Cricetulus griseus: one gene and its partner. The protein of the gene in region 1 interacts with the protein of each later gene in a biochemical or structural test. Links are inferred from orthologs where the notes say so. Each region holds a gene or a part of one and is shown on either strand. Other genes may lie near its edges.

Region 1 (3,817 bases):
GACATCACAGTTGGCTTGAGGACAGTGTTTTATAACAGGATGTCTCTATCAACACAGAAGTCCCTGGGCTCTCTATAGAGAATCACTTCAGGGTCTTCCATAAGCACTACAAAATGTTATGAGAAGGATAAGAAAACGTGGCTACTGGTCGGGTATACTGTCACAGACGATACCTCCCCTTATGTCTGAGAGATCAGATTCCCATGACCACCCTCAAGTAAGCAAAGGGCTGGCAAAATGACAGTTGCAGGTGCTGAGTCCCCAGTGCTTCACACGCCCTACAGCCCATGTGAGCCGTTGGAGGTGACTTATTTAATTCTAGCAACGACTCAGTCATTTCTAGGTAGTTACATCCTCAGGGGAGAACACTGATGTCAAGAGTGCACCGGTTCAAGAGTAAGCAGCAAACAATGAAAAAGCTGTAGGAATCTCGTGGGGACTACGGGCTCTCCTTAGGTCTGTTTGTGTAAGACGACAGATGGCAGGGTCCTAGACTTTTTTTTTTTTTTTTTTTTCCGAGATAGGGTTTCTCTGTGTAGCTTTGGAGCCTATCCTGGCACTCGCTCTGGAGACCAGGCTGGCCTCGAACTCACAGAGATCCGCCTGCCTCTGCTTCCCAAGTGCTGGGATTAAAGGCGTGCGCCACCAACGCCCGGCTCCTAGACTTTTTGTATATAACGCTGAGATGGGGTATATAGTTCCTTGGTGGAGTCCCTGCTTAGAATCCTGCAGTAAAGGGCTCAGGGCGTGGCTCAGCAGTAGAGGGCTGGCCTAGAGTTCCCTGGTGCGGAGCTAGGTGTGGCTCAGTGATAGAGTGCCAGGCTAGAATTCCTCTGTGACAGGATGGCTCTGCTGCAGAGAGCCATCCTAAAATCCTCCAGTGAGGGGCGTGACTCTTACACAGAATATGAGGCCCTGGGTTCATTCTAGCCCTGAACTGCATCTGTTTCCCCATCTGCTAACCCGGCTGTGGCCACTGGGGGTACATCCCCGAATCTTACAGGATGCTGGGCCTAGTGACTGTCACCCTAAGCTACTAGGGAAACTCTTCGGCCCGGAGAGAGTTGAAGGCCCACCTGGGCACCCAGATCCCTCCCGGAGCCCACTCACTTCCTGCGCCGGTGCCTGCGCTCCCTGTCGTCGTGAGCGGGCGGCCCGTGTCGATGTCGCCGCCTGCGTTCTCCATCATCGCCGTCGCCGTCTGCAGCGCGGGCTGGCCTGGCGGCTTCGCGGGGACGCGGCCTGCGCTCCGGCCTGTCTTCGGGTTCGTCCCCGGGCCGGCGGCGCGCGCGATGGCGTCGAGGCTCCCCGTCGGCCACAGGCCGGTGCGTGTGGCGGCGGGGCGCGTCCCCGGCCTTGGCGCGCTCGGTGTCCGCGTCCCAGGGCGCGTGCTCGCGGGGCGGCACGTGCTCGCGCTGCTGCGGCTCGCTCTCGCGGCCGTACGGGCCTTCCCGGCCAGGGGCGCGCTCAGGGCTCCCTGTCCAGGCGCGCCGTGCGTCGGGGTCGCGCGCGCTCTCGCGGGGCCGCGCGGTCGTGCGCAGCGCGTCGGGCGCGCGGCTCTTGTTGGTGTTGTTGTTGCGGTTCTCCTGCGGGTCCACCACGAGCGGCCGGTCCAGGTGCGTCTTGACGTCCGGCCGCAGCGGGCGCGCGTAGGCGGTGGGCCAGCGCTCAGCCGCGTCCCCGTACAGCGCCTCGCGGCTGGCCAGCAGGTTCTGCTTGCGCATCTCGCTGGTGCGCTGCTCCCACACCGATTTGGCGGGCTTCTGGTTCTTCTGCTGCTCCTTCCTGCAAAGCACGAAGTGGGCTGCATGCTGTACCGTGCGGCCGTGTCGGATAACAAGGGCTGCGACCCTCACCCCCGTGGGTTCGTTCAACATTTATTACATTGATGTGTTTGTATGTGGGTGTTCCCTGTTCGGTTCTCTTCTTTCTCTGTGTGAGCTCCTAGGGACTGAATTCAGGTCTTTACCAGCGGAGCCATCTTACTGACCTTTCCATTTGGATTGCTGATTAGGTCAGTTTCCCACATCCGCTTCCCTTCAGGGATGTGGCTCTGAATGAGGGTGTTTGAGAACCTTCCTTTAATGAAGACAGTTTCCCTGTTACTGCCTCTGATCCACAGAGAAATAAATGTCTGCCCTTCCTTTAGGTATGACTTGAAACCAGCGGCACCCACCACCCTACCCTGCTCAGTCCTCATCACATTGGCATGGGCAGCCCAGGATCTTGAATCTGATCTTCAGGCCCGCATAACCATCCCCACCCCAAGGCTGTCATCCCCAAGAACAACCAGAGGGCGCCTGCGAGCATTCAAATCTGGTCTAGACACTCCACTGCTCAAGAGCCCTCTCTGGCTCTCACTTAATTAGGAGCCCAAACCCCTGAAACCAGAGCCCGAGTTTTCTAGATGGCCTCCAAGGCCTTGCCTACTCTGTTCTTACATCACATCTGTCTCCTCACCCCTTTCCCAGCCATGCTAGTGTCTTCCCTATTCCTGAAACACCCCGCCTCAGAGCCTTCCTTCCCTCTCTTGCTGGCTCTCTCATCTCCTTTGAGCTCTGTTAGGCTGAGGCCCTGCCTAACACGGTTGTTTGTCTTCTGGAGACAGGATGTTACTAAGCCTAGTCTGGATCCAGCTGTCCTTGAACTCATACAGACCCGTTCCTGCCTCCAGAGTGAGGTGTATGCCACCACACCTGGCTATAAAGTCACAACTTTGGGGGCTGGAGTGAAGCTCAGTGGCAGAGCACTGGCCTGGGATGCACACACAGGGCACAGAACAGCAGTGCAGCCCAGATTCCCCTCCCTGCCCCTTCCCAGCTGCTCCTTGGAGGCTCCACAGTGAGTCATTTATTCACCTGTCCTGCTCACTTATCATCTCCTGCACTCAAACAGCTACACACAGGTGTCCCGAACCCCAACAAGGATGCTTCTTTCCCAGCAATTACAACAGGACCAGGTGCATAGTAGATGTTCATTAAATACCCAGTGACAGTGGGTGACAGGACAAAGGCACCTCCCAGGCTCAGCATTTAGGGGCCACCTTAACCCTCCCCACATCCTTGCCTGAACGGCACCAGAGGCTTGGGGACACTTACACAGCTATAGACATGTTGGCCGCAGACAGGGGACTCACTTCTGCTACCTCCTTGGCTTTCTGTAGTGCCAGTTTCTGGTTGGCTGCCTCCTCCTCCTCTTGTTCATCCTAGGAAGCAAATGGGATTCATGTTCACAAGAACAAGCCTGGGGGCTCACTTCCCACTTTGCTGCCAGCCAGGGGCAAAATCTGAAGTACTGAGAACCAAGTTTGGCCTGGGCCTTAACCAGTTGGAACTAAGGTCCCTAGTCAGACTGGGTGGTGAAATGTATTGCCACCCCCTTGTGTGTGGGCTGGCTCACTAGCTTATTAACCCTTTAAGCCCAGGCTGGCCTTGAACTTGAGATCATCCTGGGCCAGCCTCCCCAGTGCTGGGATAATAGTCATATGCAAGCATGCCTGGCTCCCTCTACATCTGTCCCCCCAATTCCTTTTTTGGTGCTGGGGATGAACCCCAAGGCTTTGTGACAGCTAGAAAGGGGCTGTTACTGGGCTGCACCCCTAGTCCTGTGTCTGATCTATCATCAGCCTGTGGGAAGATGAGGGGAGAGGGCTGGGCTCTGTGCTTCAGTCCATTTCCTAGATGGTTGGGGAGTCAGAAAAACCATCAAAGGCTGGGCATGCTGGCCAAGCCTTTAATCCAGCAATTATGAGGCAGAGGCTGGTAGATTTCTATAAGATCAAGACCAACCTGGTCTACAGAACTAGTTCTAGAACAGC
Region 2 (3,817 bases), on another chromosome or scaffold:
TTCTCAATAATGGAAAGGCTTAAAGGTCAAGAAAAGACACAATGGTGCTTGTTCCAAAGTCAAACAGAGAGAACTGAAGCTCATGACTTTGCACAGCACCTCACTCCCCAGTGGCCAGAGAACTGTCACTCACATTGAGTCAGAGGCTCGGTGTTCCATAGCTGTTTCTTAGAACCACAGTAAACCCCTTTGGGAAGTCGAATTAGCCATCTTAGGCAGCAGCCCTTAAGTTCACCGGGGTACAACTTAACAAATTAGTGCCCCAGTAGGCTGACTTAATTTCAGGAAATAACTGAAGCCCTAGGAAACTCTGATTCATAGTCTGTTGTCCCTGTCACAGTAAAATGTAAACTCCAAACCTACGCACCAAAGTGTCCAAAAGGGTCCACTTGCCTTTTCTTAATTACAAAATAAGCAGGACTGTTATTTCAGGTGTATTATCCTGAATTAAAGACAGGAAACTAAGAGTCAGATTGTTGGAGTCTCTCTGTCACATCAACTCATGCTCCTTTCAGCTCAGTCTCAAGATGGGCACAAAGGTTGGCTTCTGCAGGGGCTCTGTGCAGAAAGGGCTGAATATGAGAAGGTTACTTGGGATTATCCGAATTACTTAGAATTTCATGCCGTGATGATTCAATGAAGCTTTCGTTCTTCCTTGTTACAATGTCAGTATTAGAGTTAATGTAAATTCCACTTTCCTCTGTGCTAATCCTAGAGTTGGTATGTTACATCACACACACACACACACACACACACACACACACACACACACACACACACACACAGAGGAAAAGAGTTTCTTGTCAATGCTGATAAAGACCATGAAGGCACCTTTGTACTCATTCCTGGAAGGCTTAAACAATATGATTTCTATCTATTTTCTAGAAATTACCAGTAGAAACATTCTCTTGAGGCAGATGGCTTAGACTAAACTGACATCTGCCCTGGGACTCAGTAAATCAATAATTGCCAATGTGATTTTGCTGATAATCTGAGTAAGACTGTGCTGACAGACTGTTAGCTCACTTACATTGAAACACAACCATGCTCTTGAGTCTTTGTGATAGTAGGACAGCAGAATCCACGAGTTACAGTAGAGATCATATTTACCATTCAGGCCATTGCAAATAAGACCCCTGAAGAATCTTCCTTTAGTCTATCAACTGAAAACATTTCCTACAAAATACAAAAGCACGGTGTTGGTGGTTTCTATGCACTGTATGTGTAATGTGGCTTCGTACATCAGGTGACTAGCATTTGATCCCTCTGCTTCCCTGAAATAAACACTGAGACGTGAGGTTAACTGAATTACTATTGATAGCAGCTTTCCTCTCTGCTTTCAGAAATATAACAATGATTGGTGGATAGGAAGGCTGGTGAAAGAGGGCTGCGAGATTGGCTTCATCCCAAGTCCTCTTCGGTTGGAGAACATACGTATTCAGCAAGAACAGAAAAGAGGCCGATTCCATGGCGGGTAACATCCCATCTTCTTCATGAGCTAGCCTTTTTTTCTTCCCTCCCTCCCCCTTTTGCCCCCCTCCCTCCCTTCTTCCTTACTTTATTTTGTGGGTAAAATTTCAAGTTTCTTATTAAAAACTGGCTGAAGCAGTTCATTCTTTTAACTTAACCTCTGTTTTCAGCTGGATTCTATTTTATCTTGGAAACATGCTCTTGAAGACTCTCTTTGCCTTCACCCCAATGAGAGCCTACTTTTAAAGCAAAGGGACACTTAACTGCACACATACTGTTCTTGAGGAGGACACAAAGGTTTGGGGTTCCATTGTGTTCTGAACTCCAGCAACTCAGAAATTCACATGAATTCCACAGTGGCAGCTGCTTCCTGTGGGCTCAGAAAACCTATCTGCAAACCCTAGTTTTCTTCTGTGAGAGTTACATGGGGCCTCATTTCTCAAGACAGCTCAGGTAGCAGCTGACATGACCAAGTGTTGTGGTTTTGCTTGGTTCTCTGTCAAAAGCTGTGTCCAATAAACTCAGAATGTGATGGTGCGGGACAGTCCTGGGCACACTTTTCTTTACTTGGTTTCTTGTGCCGTCATCTTCTGCTGACACTGTGCTGAAGACACTGGGGAGCTGCAATGTACCAGCCTCCCATGGTCAAAGGAAACAGCACACAGACTTCAGAGCGCAAGTGGCAGGTCCCAGGAGGGTGAGCAGTTTGAGAGAAGTCCTGACTGCATTGGGTCTCAGTGGTACTGCTACCTGCCCTGAAGCACAGATTTCAAATGTGTTAGCAAGTTTTGCTAATGTTATTGCTGTGAGACAATCTCGCTATGTAGTTCAGGCTTCCCTTTGGTGAGGCAATTCTTCTGCACCAGCCCCACACCCTAGTGCTGGATCACAACTGTGCATCGCCATGTCTGACTGAAGCAGTTCTTTCCTTTTATTCAATCTCTCTTTCCAGTTAATTTTTCTAAATAAAAAAAAATGTTGTGCTATTTAAGTCTTCCCTAATGAAAACCTTTCAATAGTAATGGAAGATCATAGAGGTATAGTTAAGCACCATTCTAATGATTAATCTTCTGTTAGGGTGTTTTATTATTAATCCTTTGGTTCCCTTTGCCCTAGACATTTCATTCTCTATGCTTCTTAGCACATCAGGAACACTTGGCCCTTCCAGGGGGCCTTTGCATTTCCTTCCTCCTACTGGGTACCTCTTCCTCCTTTGCTGTTACCAGATCACTCCATCTCCTTCAGGTGCTTATTGCCGTTCCAGTGACTCCTTCCTTCCCCACTGTATTTTAAGTTGTATCCACTCCAGACTCACCCTTTCCCTGCATTTCCATCTCTTTCCAAATAAATTGTTTCTATTATACTTACTACTCTCAGAAAAATTAGATTTTTACCTATTTCTCTTGTTTGCCTTGATTGTCTCCTACTAAAAAGTGTCTCAATAATCTCCCACCATTGTCGCTATTATACACACACACACACACTTTTTTTTTTTTTTTTACTTCAAGGCAAGAGAAACAATAATACCAAGGGCTCATTCACAGAAGCTAATTTGTCAGCTTCTCTCTGTAAGGTATAGATAACTCCTATTTCCATAGATGGGGAAAACAAACACCCAAAGATGTGTTGCAGTATTTTCCACAGGCAGTAAGTGACAGAACTGCTCATCATTGGGCTATAAACATACATGACTTACTATTGATAGCCCCATTACTGTTGATAGCAGGAAAAGTTTGTGGGACATCCCCGACCCCATACACTTAAGAAGCATTTCTCCAGGTCCTCTTGCTTGTATTGAGCTGTCTGGCCTCTGACTGGTACTTCAGTACTTGAATTCAGGTAAACACATATCTCCACATTGCATCCTTGCCAGGGGTCCTTCTGCCCAATTTTTGCACAAATAACAGGGAAAGAGAATTTGCCAAGCATTTCCAAGTCTCAGTTAGATCTCCACTTTCTCTGAGAAATGAGGTCAGCGAAATCATTTGAGCAGATTCCCGAAGCTCTTCTAACAAGCTTTGGTATGTTTTGAATTATTTAGTAGAAGGCCAAAGAACACCTTGGATTCTCAGTTTCTGTTTTCAAAGGATCTGGGGCGAGAGTCTTAAGTTTGTTTCCATGGTCTAGGAAATCGAGTGGAAACTCTTCCTCCAGTTTGGGTGAAATGGTGTCAGGAACATTTCGAGCGACCCCCACAACAACAGGTGAGCAGTCTTGCTGCTAAACATCTGAGCACATATGCAAGCATTAGTAGTGGTTTGGAAATAAAGGCTTGACCTAAGATTTAAAGTGTCTTTTATTTAAGATTTCCTTGCTCGTTTGAATTGAAAGGTACTAACGATGTAAA

The links.
Region 2: the proteins of Cacna1a (region 1) and Cacnb4 form a complex in vitro, tested with the Homo sapiens proteins (2 studies listed by BioGRID). The link is inferred for Cricetulus griseus from reciprocal best matches to the Homo sapiens genes CACNA1A and CACNB4.

What each region holds. Positions count from the first base shown.
Region 1 is NC_048596.1:159,831,119-159,834,935, forward strand, and holds part of Cacna1a (voltage-dependent P/Q-type calcium channel subunit alpha-1A), read right to left. Parts: intron 3,206-3,817; coding exon 3,099-3,205; intron 1,786-3,098; coding exon 1,111-1,785; intron 1-1,110.
Region 2 is NC_048599.1:121,898,940-121,902,756, forward strand, and holds part of Cacnb4 (voltage-dependent L-type calcium channel subunit beta-4), read left to right. Parts: intron 1-1,324; coding exon 1,325-1,474; intron 1,475-3,597; coding exon 3,598-3,674; exon of another isoform or gene 3,675-3,817. UniProt on the Homo sapiens protein: The beta subunit of voltage-dependent calcium channels contributes to the function of the calcium channel by increasing peak calcium current, shifting the voltage dependencies of activation and inactivation, modulating G protein inhibition and controlling the alpha-1 subunit membrane targeting.